2 linked regions of the Caenorhabditis elegans genome follow. The protein of the gene in region 1 interacts with the protein of each later gene in a biochemical or structural test. Each region holds a gene or a part of one and is shown on either strand. Other genes may lie near its edges.

The links. Proteins that work in one complex are often made in the same cells at the same time.
Region 2: of the proteins of arrd-17 (region 1) and tax-6, one has a biochemical effect on the other in vitro, tested with the Caenorhabditis elegans proteins (one study listed by BioGRID).

The regions. Positions count from the first base shown.
Region 1 is NC_003281.10:13,626,554-13,632,453, forward strand, and holds arrd-17 (Arrestin domain-containing protein 17), read right to left. Parts: upstream 4,256-5,900; 5' UTR 4,162-4,255; coding exon 4,081-4,161; intron 3,689-4,080; coding exon 3,598-3,688; intron 3,550-3,597; coding exon 3,416-3,549; intron 3,272-3,415; coding exon 3,101-3,271; intron 2,684-3,100; coding exon 2,547-2,683; intron 2,502-2,546; coding exon 2,249-2,501; intron 1,624-2,248; coding exon 1,453-1,623; intron 1,409-1,452; coding exon 1,266-1,408; intron 665-1,265; coding exon 565-664; 3' UTR 503-564; downstream 1-502. UniProt on the Caenorhabditis elegans protein: Involved in several behavioral responses including chemotaxis towards lysine and adaptation to repeated osmotic stress. In addition, plays a role in resuming egg-laying and locomotion after starvation.
Region 2 is NC_003282.8:10,495,024-10,503,060, forward strand, and holds the start of tax-6 (Serine/threonine-protein phosphatase 2B catalytic subunit), read right to left. Parts: upstream 6,038-8,037; coding exon 5,998-6,037; intron 5,513-5,997; coding exon 5,423-5,512; intron 5,175-5,422; exon of another isoform or gene 4,896-5,174; intron 4,687-4,895; coding exon 4,586-4,686; intron 4,539-4,585; coding exon 4,053-4,538; intron 3,733-4,052; coding exon 3,593-3,732; intron 3,545-3,592; coding exon 3,467-3,544; intron 3,391-3,466; coding exon 3,296-3,390; intron 3,194-3,295; coding exon 3,068-3,193; intron 3,023-3,067; coding exon 2,945-3,022; intron 1,520-2,944; coding exon 1,511-1,519; intron 244-1,510; coding exon 159-243; intron 1-158. UniProt on the Caenorhabditis elegans protein: Calcium-dependent, calmodulin-stimulated protein phosphatase. Dephosphorylates arrd-17. Dephosphorylates daf-16 at 'Ser-319' which regulates daf-16 nuclear translocation. Dephosphorylates calcium permeable cation channel pkd-2 at 'Ser-534'.

The sequences.
Region 1 (5,900 bases):
TTAGCATTTAAAACCCCGAAGAACTTTCCAAGTTGAAAACAGTATGAAAAAGTAGGTCTCTCAGTGTAGGCATGAAAATGCTTGCCTGCCTCGTGTCTACTGTCAAAATACATGTAATTAGAAAGTAAAATTAGAAACGCGTAAATCTATGCAAACACCGGACACTTAATCATCACAGAAATCAGACTATAGGCAGGCAGGCAGGCATTGAAGCTCACTCACGAAAACTTTAAAAAGTTGAATGAAACTTATCTCCTCACACCCTATTTATAGATAAAAATGCAAAACAACAAGCACCAAAAACCGTATGACCGTCACCAATTGACGCAAACCGACAAGACATTGTGTGCTCTGAGAAGACGCAGACCTCACCACGGGGTTCAGGTGATAAGGCTTTTTAGGGAATTGTTTGTGATAGTGAATTAGGGAATCAGAAAATATGTTTTTTAAACTTGTTTTTTAAAAAAAATCTGAATCGAAAGTGCAACAAAATTTGAAAAAGCATGGAATTTATTGATTATCCCCTCCAAGCGAAAGTAACACTCGAGACAAAATGATAAAATATTAATCGGTATAAAATGGATATTTGGGCGCAAATGAGGCTTCACCGAACTGTGCTTGCTCCTTCTCCTCTGATATGTCACTGGCGCCGAAGAATGATTCTCTGAAAAATTTCAGGGAATTTGTAAAAACTATAAAAATTTTAAAAACTAAAAAATTGCGTATTGCGCAACATATTTGACGCGCAAAATATCTCGTAGCGAAAACTACAGTAATTTTTTAAATTACTACTGTAGCGCTTGTGTCGATTTACGGACTCGATTTTCGGAATAAATTAAAATCAAGCAAAAATGAGAAAATAATACGAAGAAACGAAGGAAAATGGAATATCTCTGACATTAAATATTTGTAAAAAAATTCATTTAGACAATCAAGCCCGTAAATCGACACAAGCGCTACAGTAGTCATTCAAAGAATTACTGTAGTTTTCGCTACAAGATATTTTGCGCGTCAAATGTACGCATTCCCTGAGTTTTGTGTTCCCGTAATAGAAGTAAAAAATTGTGGCAGCATATTTTTTTTCCTAAAAGGATAGTGCAATAGCTGCCAGTCTGGAGTATCAGTATGCGCGTAAGATCTGGCGAAAATGCGCGTAAGATATGGCGAAAATTCTCATCTTTAGACGTCTACGTAATACCAGAAAATCGAAAAATGAAAGTTTAAGTCCCCAATTTTAAAGCACCTAAGTTTTTGCCCGAACTCACTTATAATACGGGCTCGGCATTGTTGGATACAGCTCGCTGAGGATCGAGGAGGGCATTCGTACTCGTTTTCGAGCTGACAATAAGGCTTCCATTTCGTTGCCGAGTTCCTCCACCAGCTGACCACTCTCATCTGTGATTGTCACCTGAATTAGGCGTGTAAAACGTGTTTACCCTTGTAAAAACAAACCTGCACACAACTCTCGCTATCCCATTTTGGTGGACTATCCTTTATGGAACTTTTCGGTAAAGAGCCGTTGCCGGCACTCTGCACGGACTGTTTGGAATGGATCAGAAGTTGAGAAAGCTGCGGGATGGAACCAATGACAATTGGACACGGCACTGTGAGCGTTTGCTCGACCTAAAGAGCTAAGTGTTTGAGAAAAGGTAGCATTGTCAAATGGTTTTTTTTAGTAGAAACTTGCAAAAACTCATTAGTTAATATTTTCCAAAATTTCATATCTTGCCGGGGTTTTTCAATACAGAAATAATAATCTGAAAAGGTGTAGAAATTGTTATGTATAGTATTTGGCAGTTGATCATTTTGTGAAACTTTCCACCAAGTTAGAGGATGTATCAGAGCAAGTTCTTTGTAGGTGGTCAACCTCATCTAACTTTGCAGAGATGGCAGTAAATTGTCAACTAACATAAGATAGAACAGTAAATATATGTGGAATATTTTGTTCGTATTAAAAATTATGTTAAAAACCTTTCTCGTGAGTTACAAGAATTTGAATTTTTTTTTTGAAATTCGTCAAGAAGCTTTAAAGTTCTTCTAATGGGGTTACTCAAGTAGCGTCCGAAAATTAAAAAGTGTATAAAAATGACGTCAGAACTGTATTAAAATTCATAAAAACATGTATTTTAACACAGTTGTCCCGTCATAAATGTATTAAATACATTCCGCAACACTCCTTGGATAACCCCATTATGGGTCCGAAATCCGAGGAAATTTATCAATTATCTAACAAACTGGTATTACTTACTTCCAATTCGACCGAATAGGTAACTGACAGAATTTTGCATTTTCCCAATTTCGGTGGCAACGATGGGATTGTGATGGATTCTTCTTGCCATTCGGTGGTACTTCCACCTGGCACCTCTCCTTTGTCAATTTTTGAGATCACGCGAACCACATTCTTGATGTGCTCGTGGCCGGCGAATGTTTTGGCCTTGTACGTGGTTTGCTGCACGAATCGGAGAGCAGTAGTTCTAGTTTTGGAGCTCAGATTTATCACTCTACAAAAAATGAGGTTAACATATGCATTTAGCAAAAATACTAACTTAAAGCTGACATCTATCTTTTCTCCGGGAGTATAGCCGCACTTTGATATTCGAATTTCGCCGGTAACGCTGCCGGCTGACCGACAACAAAATGTGACAGCATGGTTGGATTCCACGCATGTGGCAGGCTCATTGAGCTGGAAATCGGGAAAATTGTAATTTGAAATCGGGAAAACCGTAATTTGTTCCAATTTGGAGGTTACACAAGATTAAAACCTTTTACCACCGCAGTGAGACGTGGTTGTAAATTGTCAACTAACAAAATAATCTACTCAGTTGAAAACTCGTCTAATGTTCTGTTCACAGGGGAGATTAAAGGCCTTTATGCTGACCACCAACTCTTGCAACTCGGCGAGTTGACAAAACACCAGCAAACTGTCAACTGGCAAACTATCTACAAAAAAATTAAATTTATTATAACTCCTTGAATGTCTGCATGCAAGATGTTTGATCCTGTGGCCCTACTTATCAAAAATTAAAAAATTATAAACTGATAATAAGTTTTTCTTTTAACTTGGCTCAAAAATGAGCCAAATTGACAAATACTTGCCTACCTTAGGGTCCGAATTAATATCTTCGATACCAACTACCGTAAACGCTTTTCTGCTAACAATATCAAAATCCCATGGTCGTTCACAAATGGCTTTGCATGTGTACCGGATGTGTCCGAATTCGCCTTCAAATGAGGATGGCAGTGATTTTGGCAAAGTGTACGAGAATGGGACCTGCAATATTTATATGGTTTGGTTAACTTTTGACAGTTTACACTATGTATACCATTCGAGATGATTCGACACAATGTACAAAATTCGAGAAAAAAGTGAAATGAATATTATCAATGAATGGTCAACTTTTTCACAGAAATTTACCTGATGAATGCCGGCGGGAAGTATCCTTTCCTTTTCTTTTCCGTCTTTTACAACTGTGAATTTGTGCGTGTAGCCAGGATTGAATTGCTCCAAAAAGTAGGGCTCCGAGTGAGAACAATGTTTTCGCGATTTTCCTGAAAATATTTAAAAAAAAACAATTTTTTTTCAGAAATTGCGCTTACCAGAATGCTTTGTCCAGTAGGTTCTTGCTCTGCCCTTCAGTTCCAGTAGAATCTCATTGACCTTTTTTGGCTCCTTATTTTCTATTATAACCTGCAAATTTTATTATTGCTTAAAAATTGAAATTCCTCAAAGTTTTCTTACTCACTTACTTAGTAAGTAAGTATATATCTTTTTTCTGGGCTTCTAGCGCCAACTTACAAAGTAAGCTCAATCTTACGACAAAACGAACAAAATAGAAAATTTTGCCGAAAGCAAAAACTCGAAATTAATAAAGATAATTTATTAAAAATTAAAGAGCTATTCTTGAACTTTTAAAATGAAGAGAGCAAGAGAGAAGCATATGTTGTATTATCCCATTCAACACTTCATGAAACTGCATCTTTATGTTGATGTTAGTCCATTCGCTTGATGGAAAAGCCGGAAAAGTAGGCAAATTGGTAACAAAAACGCTTGAAAATCAATTTTTAAAAGGGTACACCTACTTTTCCTGAGATTTCCTGACCGGCAAAATACGCCTGTTCAGGGTTGTTGAACAAAATTTCAAAACGATCTAACTGCACCATCTCCTATCTGTTGATTTTTGTACTTCTTGCCCGACACTTTTCTAATGTTTCCTCCAATTTATACAGATTTCATTATTTGTGCCGTTGCTGGAATCTGAAAAAATATTTTTATTTTGAAATTTTCATATAGAGTTAAGCAGAAAATGAAAGAGTTTTTGAACTCAATTATACGCAGTACACCGAACCTTACGGCAAAATTCACATATGATTTTTAAAAAATGTGAAAAGTGTCCCAATCAAGGTAAAACGTGACGCTGAGCTCAATTTTAATAACAAAAATACTTAAAAATTTCGCTTTCCGCCACTTTGCCTTTCAAGAAGCAATCAAAAACCGAGGAAAAACAACAAAAGAAATAAGTTGGAAGGAGGAAAAGTAGAGAAAAAACAGCAAAATGGCTCAGGCAACTCAAATCTAATATGAAAATATTAAATAGCAATATTTTTGTAGTAAAAACGAGAAATTGTGCGTCATATAAAGATTACTAAAAATTTCGAATAGATTTCAATTTTGTCTCAAAAGATTACAATTTCATCTCAAAATATTGCGAAAGTGTGAAAATTTCTAGGAAGACTTCCGTTTTATCTCAAAATATTACTAATTTGTCTCAAAAGACTGCGAACTAGTCTCCGAAGATTGAGATTTCATCTCCGAAGATTGAGATTTCGTCTCAGAATATTGCGATTTTGTCTCAAAATATTGCGAATTTGTCTCTAAATATTAAAAATGCATTCATCGACTATTCTAGAACTGTTTTGTGATAACTCGAAGAACTTTTGTTGCCATTGAGGGGAGTTGAACTTGTCCGTCGCTTGTCGTTGAGTCTATGAACCATTATCTTACCTGTTGAGCCATCCTGAACGTGTCGCATCTAGATTTAGTTATTGCTTAAGTAAATAGTTGATGGGCGCACGTCCTTTTCGTTACTTTTGATGGGAAATCAGTGACTTTTCGCAAATTTTCTAAGTGTCAGAGCGAAATTGGATAACTTTCTTTGACAGCGAATGTGGAAAAACGATTTTTTTGTTATGCTTTAAAAAATGTTAGAATTGCAATTTTTCCGAATTTTTGTCAAAGAGAGAATAACATTTTATTTTTTCAATATTTTTTTTCACTAACAATTTGATTAAAATGATGAGTATACTGGGAACATGCTTGCTGTTGACAATATTTTATGATTTCAATTGAAATCAAAAAATCTCAAACGCATCACGCGTGAATGAATAGTTGTAAGTCTACTTTAATGTATTCGACCAATCTTCGTGATTGTTTGACTGAATTTATAATATGACCGGCCAATTATCTAGAAAAAATTACATGAGTGGACAGATTTGTGAATTCTGTGGCTTTCTCTGCAAAAACTCCTTCTACAATATGCAACGAAAAATCAAATATCCGTTAACAGTGAGATACTCCATTATATAGATTTTCATGTAGCTGTTTTTTACTTTGAAAAGTCTTTTATCATTTGGAAGAAAAGAGAATTTAGAACGGAACAGTAATCATAATTGTTGTATATATCACGATCATGTGAAGCCGATGGAAATTTGGAAATGGTGTTTTGTAATCTTTATGGACTGCAAAAAGATTGCAAATTAATCTTAGAATATTACACATTTTTTTTGTAATATTTTTAGATTTCAGAAAGATTGCGAACCAATCTCAAAAGATTGCTTTGTCATCTCAAAATATTACGAATTTTTCGTAATATTTTCAGATTCAGAAATATTGCGAATCAACC
Region 2 (8,037 bases), on another chromosome or scaffold:
AGTATGTTGTTTTTTTATAGAAACATTAAATTAAGATATATGTTATCAAAAATAAATAAAAGTTAACTAAAAAAAATGCTCATTCTATAATAGAAAAAAACTTTCTATTTAAATTCATACAAATTCGGTTTAAAATTGAAAAAAATTAATCAACTTACCGAAGAACTGAGAATGCTCTTGCCATCTTTCCAATTGCTCGAATCTTGTGTCGAATAACCTCTTTTCTTGCAGACCCCACTCCACCTGAAAAATTAATTTTTAAAAAAGAACCGTCAACATTTACAAATGACATGGCAACAACTTCAAAAGGGGTGACACCATTCACTGGCAACCACATTACCAATCAATAGAAATCCCCGAATGAAGTTAGAAAAATGTCAAAAATAAAATGAAAGCCATGTACATATATATTGGCTAATAGGTGAAAAATTACTACTTGTAAATAGTGTGAATATGGGGAGGGCAAAGGGGGTAAAAATTTGGGATTTTGCAATGTGCCAACCGTCACCGAAAATGATAGAGGTTGAGTTAGAGGAAACGGGTCCCATTGGGATTTGAAGGGATTACGGTAGTTTTTGTTGTAAATAGTTTTAAAGAAGTTTTATGCTCTTGGAAAAGAAAATTTATTTGTCTAGTTAATTTAACTACAATTTTTTATACAAAAAACTAAACTTGTTCGATTGTTAACATTTTCTTATTTCGTTCCAAGATTATGTTCCGTAAGAATAGCCAAAAAACTCATAGTTTAAAAAATCTTCTTGTCGAGTAAACATCAATTCTACTTTTACAATTTCATAATAATTTTTCAAATATACCGTAATATACTAATAAAATATAAAGTAACCTTTTTGAGAAAATATTATGTATAGAAAAAATATACACTTCAAGGTCTTTTCTCACAGGTTTGGGGAAATTTCCACTTTCTCATTTCTTATACCGTACCCCTAAAAATCCCAATAAAGACACCCATTTCTTCCAATTAGTAACTAATTTTTAGGGTGGGGAATCAAAACCAAGTGAGAGAATTTTGAATTTTAGACTGCTCGAATTCTTTCATTTTCTTCGATTTTTTGACTTTCTATTTTTTTTCAATGTTTAAAATTGGAATTTTCAGAATTTTTGAAAAGAGACCAAAACACAGGAGAAGACCAGGTTGGAAATCCGACATAAAACATGCAAAACACAAGGCGTTAAAAGTTTAGCAGCACACAGCCAAATGAAACAACTAAAACAATTATAATTAGAAAAAAGCAACGTATTTTTTTTTAGAAAAACGGAACAAAAAAGATAAGCAGAGCAGCCACATAAAAGTCAAATAAATAGAAAGCCGTATTCAGAGAGAAAAATAAAACAAACTAAGAAATGGTGTATAAGCGCCAAACGCCCGAGGTGGGTGTTGTTTAGGGTGTTCCGAAGAAAGTTTGGTAAAAAATTAAAGAAAAAATAAAACTAAATCTGATAGTCAAACATACGTCACCAGTGTGTGGTGGGTAGGGGAATATCCACTTACCATCTGCTCCTTAAAATTTTGATTAGACTTTTTCATTATTTTTTTGTAGCTAGTTTTGAGATTAATGTTTAGATCTTTACTGAGATTTTAACATTTAACTTTTTTAAAGGCGCGTGCGGTTAAGGAAAAAACGGACGGCTTGAAAACACAGTTTCTGACAAATTTGTCAAAATTTTATTGGATTTTCAGAACAAGTTCAAGCCTGCAACACTGGGAAAAGGTAACAAGTTTACCGACATTTCAAGGTTTTAGAACAATAGACAAAAATTAAGGGATGATGATATTCTTACGATGGCATGGTACTTCTGTCATTCAATTCTATTGACAAAATGTCTTCCAAGCCAAACATGGCTCCGGCAAATGAGCTCAAAATTTCTACAAGTAGTGCTCTGCTATGCTCAAGGTCAACAATACATGCGTTTTTTTCTCAATCGACATCATGGTTTGTGTACTAGTGACTAGCATTTCTACATCGTTCGAAAAACTATATTTCAATTTGAAGTGTGAAATCCTACAAAAAATTAAACCTACAAAGTGGCGCTAATCTTTTGAATACTGTACACATAGGGAGCGTATGACTGCTGAGAAATGCTAATTCAGATGAGTACAATAGTTACAGTTTTGAACTGAAGTAATCAATCATGTCAAACTGAAAAAGAGAACACCTATATATTTCAGTCATTCTCAGTCAGAGCACACACGCACACTCACACAGAAATATCAATTCTCATGCCAATACCTTTTTTCGTTTTTCCTTTTCTTTCTCATGGTTTCTTTTTCAGAGAGCTCAATCAAAAAAAGAGTAGCACAACATTCAAACAATGACCAAATATTCAAAAAAAGGGAGAAAAGAAGGAAAGAAAAAGGAAAAAAGAGAAGGAAAGGAAAAGGCAAGAAACTAGAGAGAAAAGAAGTAGAAGAGAGACAGAGAGAGAGAACCGTACCGGACACACAACACCGATTTTTGTGCATTTTTTGAGGTTTTTGAAGGAAAATTGGAAATATTCCTATTTCCCTTTCAAACTCTCAGTGCCTTATTAATTTTCAAACAGTCTCTCTTCTTCTTCTCCTCTCCTTAGTTTATATCACAGTAGGAGAAAAGAGTGATATGAGGTGAATAGGAACAATTTTCTGTTCTTGTTAAGATATACATTTACAAATATATATATAAATTAATCGAGCAAAAAACACATGTATTCCATCTCTTGGGGAGAACGTTTCAATGCGGCTTTTCATTTGCCAATTTGAGCCGAGCACAAGACAAAATCATTGAAAGTGTATAGAGACAAAATTGGCGGTAGAAGATTATTTTAATTTAAAAAAATTATATATACATAAATATTTTTTGTTGTGAAATAATTCATATTAAAGTGACCTAGTTTTTTACGCAGTAGGACCTCCTTTGAGGGAGCCAGTGCTTAATCATGAACATACCTTCAAAGGTGTCATCGCATTCAGCCATCAGCTCGTCGTCAGAACAAATGTTGAGAATGTGAACCAGCATCTCCGTTACTAAAAGGAAATCTCATTTGGTTTTCGACATATTTCTTGCTATACCTTTTTCTCCCACAAACGGCAATGACCACGTGAACACATCCATAAAGTTCGGCAGCCAATATGGATGAGGACTGCAGTTGAATTGACGAATATTCATCACATTGTTCTCGTACTTCAGGATGGCAGCTGAAAATTGTTAAGTTGTTTAATGTTTAATGTTTAATTTTCCGAATTTTGTTTTCTTTTTGTTTCTCCGTCAAAAAATGCCATTCCCATATTTCCTCTCACCTTTGTTGTTGTAGACATCCAAATAATTTGGAGCACTGAAGATGGTGATCAACGATGGGAAGCCTGTGGCTTGAGATTTGCGATACATGCGGTATCTGGAAAATAGAGTAGAATTAGAAAAGAGGATTAAGGTTCTCTTTTCGCATCTCCTGGCGACGGATAAGCTCTTACCCGGCATCTTGAGCTTCATGTGCGCGAATGATGGAGAGCAGATTGTTGTGTTGCAGGAAATCACAGCATGCAGCGTAGCTATAATATTTCGTTCTATTAAAATGAAGATTATAGTGAATGGGATACCTGTAAAAGTATGAGCACCCTCTAACCGAATTGTGACTAAATTGTTCTGAATTCCTTTCGTTTCCGAAATCTTCAAGTGGGTCTGACCAGAGAAGATCACACATTGGACCAAATGCTGGGGGCTCCTTGAATCTGTCTATCTGAAAGTCAACAAATTAAATAGACATTTAAGATATGGTCGTAATTTCGGATTAAAGTTAAACAGTACTTTAAAACATATAAAACAAACATATACCGTAAATTTTCTCTCAGTATTGCACCTAACTATTTCACTTTAAAAACTTCACTCGGTTCATGATACATATCAAAGAAATTAATTGAAAATATATTGAAAAAGAACTAACAAATATTTTGTTAATTGAGAATTTTTTGATAGAACAAACGACAACGGGTACCGTACTAATAGAGAAATACGGTATTTTTCAAAATATTAGTTTTAGATCTCATGTTTTTCACTAACCCTCCTGATATCCTCCAAAGTATGGATTTCTGGGGACAATCCACCATGAACACAAAGGAATTGTTGGTTCATGAGAGCTGCCAACGGTAGAGCATCAAATGACTCCATGCACACATCGTATACCCGTTCAGAGTACTTGATCTTGCATTCTTGTTTGAATGTAAAGTACTCTGTCAAATGACGGCATTCATGGTTTCCTCGAAGCAAGAACAACGTGGTCGGATAGCAGATTTTGAGTGCCCACAGATACAGGACACATTCAATCGAGAAGTATCCTCGATCCACGTAGTCACCCAAAAATAGATACTTGGTAGTTGCGGGCGATCCGCCAACTTCGAATAGTTTCATGAGATCGTAGAATTGACCATGAATGTCTCCGCATACAGTAACCGGCGCCTCGATTTCCAACATCGTTTTTTCGTTGCGGAACAGGCTTGAGCATTCTTGAATCACACGAATCGCGGCTTCTTCTTCTATCCTTCCTTCCTGCAAAATTGTTGATTTGATTATATTCTTAAAAATCTATTCCACACCTTAATAAAATGATCTCGAAGAACTTCATGCCTTGGTTTTCCAGTCCGCCGGTCGTAGACCTGATCAACGGTAAGGCGTTCGGAAACAGGAAATTGAACGGCTGAAAAATGAGAAATTAGAAAAAATATAATGTTTTCATTATTCCATTTTACTTCCGAATTCCTTCATCTTTCTATTCCCTTCTTCTATTTTTTTTTCAATTCTTCTCAAATTCCATGCTCTTCTCACGCTCATCTTCCCCACATGGCGCCCGAGCCGCCGCCGCCCTCCTAAATTACTATGGGAACCCTCTCAAGCGTTTCGGGATTAATTTTCGATTTCAAGCTACAGCAGTCACTCACTCCCCTTCCTTCCCGTCTTCTCTCACACACACGACGACGCCAATGACGGCGACTTCGTCAGAATCTTTTCGAATAGAAAAAGAGAATGACGGAGAGAGAATCAGAGAGAATAAGAACTCTCTATCTCTCGATATATTTTCTATGTGCCTGGTGAGCCGACGCGGAGCCATTGGTGAGCTCCTCAGAGCAACGGACCCGCGTGAGTCAGACAGTGAGAGTTTGCGCTGAGAATAGACGAGAAGAAACTCTCTGCGGCTCTGCAGCTCACGACGACAACGGGACAAGCAAAAAAAAAAATTCTCTGCGCGTATAATTTCTGGCTTCTTCAATGTGTGTGTGCCAATGTGAGGGTGGATGGGGGTGGTTGTGGTGTGCTGCGCAAAAAAAAAGAGAAAAAAAGAGCATGGCGCTTTTCTCCGTAACCTGAAGCAAGAAACACTTTAATTGGTTTTTCTTTTTCAAACTGCCGCCCGACTGCAGAAGCCAAATACTTACTCTTGACAAATCGTTCGGTGAACTGCTTCAAATCACGTTCGCGTTCACGATTGTTGTTCGAGGCGGTGGTGGTAGTGTTGGTAGTGTCAGCTGAAAAAATGGTTCTTTTCATGCATTCCAGATGAGATCCATTTTTCTTTCGCTAGATTTTTTCGGATAGAGACACCTAGAAAAAGGATGAAGCCCCCGACGACTGCGTGTGTGATGATGCACAACAACACTACAAATTCGATTTGTGTCTCTATTTCCTTCTAAAATCATTTTTCGAGGGGGCAAAAGGAGATAGAGGGAAAACAACAACTAATTTTTCGATAACATTTAAAGGTATGTAACGTGAAACGGAAACCAAACTTCAAAATAAATTGATTTGAAAAAATATTGTTCTTTTCCCGTATTTTCCCAATCAAAGAAAATGAAAATTCTAGTTCCTACTAAAATTGAAAATGGACTATTTAACTTTTTGAAATTTATTCAAAAAATGCTCAATGTTTGCTGATTTTAGCGATAGTCTTAAATTGCAAAAAATAAGAATAAAAACAATGGTAGTTTCAGACGAGGATTCAGTAAATACTTACGTTTAGCTGCAGAGTTCTGTCCTGCCGATGTCGAGGCCATTGTGTGTGTTTATATATTTAAAATTGATGATGACTTTTCCTTTTATCGACTGATTTTTTGTTTCACCTGCAATTCAAAATTGTAAGAAAGTGAGGGAAACTCTGGAAATGGTGTGGAGTTGCGCGGAGCCGAGTATCTTGGGGCAGCTGACTTGTATTCTTGAGCTCCTTTTTTTCCTTTTTTCTTCATTTCTCTTCTAGTCTCTCACGCGGCTCTCCTTCTCTCGCGGACACCATGGCGATTCAATTTTTATGACTTTTATGAGAGAGAGGCCAATACCTCATATATTTTCCTTTTTCGGCGCGCGGCGCCACTGACGGATCGGATGTATTTTGTTGGAAAATGAAAACGAACCCTTTTTGTTCAAAAAAATGAGTGAATGAGCTACTCTGGTTTGGTATGAACCCGTAGATGAAGCGGGGAAACGGCTATGTGTGGAGATGATGTAGCTTTGCGAAACAGTACGATACCCTCCTTCGGACCGTTTCACGTCACTTCTCTTCACACCACGGCACGACGGATCGATCTTTCACAGGCCTGCAATCAACATTTTGGTCAATTTTTGTCATACGGAGAGAAAAAGTTCAACATTTACGAATTAAATAACGATTATGAAAGAATAACGTCCCCGAAAAATAAGATGTTCCAATGCAAAGCTTTCCGTTCAATTTAACAAATTGATAGTTAAAAATTTAAATTCAATAAGAAAAAGAAAAGAAGCTTGACCAATCGAATAATTCAGATTGAAGGGAAAACTAGTTGTGCATGCCAAAAGGCGACAACAATGGGCGGGGTTCCTTTGGAAAAGACGAAGAAAAGGAACAATTGAGAATTGGAAGGAGAATCAAGAGAAATTTATTTGAGAAACATTACAACCAATTTATTAGCGAATTTTCTTAAAGCTAAAATGTCATCAAAATATGATTTACATCATTGAGAGAGCAACTATATAATTATTCTAGAGAACAAATTTATTCCGAACGTTTCTTCAAAAATATCTTAAACATCATTCATTTTTGACAACTTTATCAGGAAATTCAGCATCATCTTCAAAAAAAAAACAGTCAATACCACACTTTATTTTTTATTTCGCGAATTATTCAATTCTGACAGTTTCTCTGTCGTTTTGTCAACTGACAAAATAATTGTTCTGTTTCTATCGTTTTATGTATACTAGGTAGTGCAATACAAATAAAAAAAACGATATCAGTTGTAGTACTGTACAACTCTAAGTGTTTGTATTTAAAAATAGAACTTTCAAACAATTTTATAAGTTGAAAATGTCTTCTTCCTAGGAGCGATGTCATTTTCTAACTACTGTTCAACTCATGCTATGTATTGATTAAATCATTTATGAGCAGAACCAAAAACCCACATGACTTTGAAAAAGGGAAAGATCAAAAGTAATGGGCGGTGTGTGTTATCGATAAAAAACCTTTTTTCCCTCTGCGTGAGAGAGATGCTCTTTTTCTCTGCTTCTCTCTATCGATAAGGCACAATGAAAAATGAAAAGAAGCAGCACGGAAATTGGGTAAACATATGTAGCGATGCGACAGAAACGGAGAAAATTAGAGAAATAGACAGTTTCAGTTAAAGCACGTTTCAAATGTTGTCTAAAAATTATAGGTGGAAAATTTAGCAAAACCAGGCTTTCTACTCTCAAAATAAACACAAAAAAAAACAAATTTCAGACAAAAAGAAAAAGTAAAAAAAATCGGAAACTCTATGTATTGTAAAAACAGAACATGAAAATTCTCTAAACGACATAATAGTTCCATTCTTAAATTTTTAGTCATCACTAAGAAAGGCTTGTTGTTGTTGTTTATTCCTTCCAAAAAGATAGGTCCCTCTGGTATAATCATGAAAAGGGACAGAAACAAGGAGTCCAATAGATACTTCATGCATACAAATTTGTTGGTACGATGATGTGTATGCTGGGTAGGAGCTAGAAAGATAAGAGAACGAGTGAAAAGAGAGTGTTGAGATGTCAAAAGAAACAA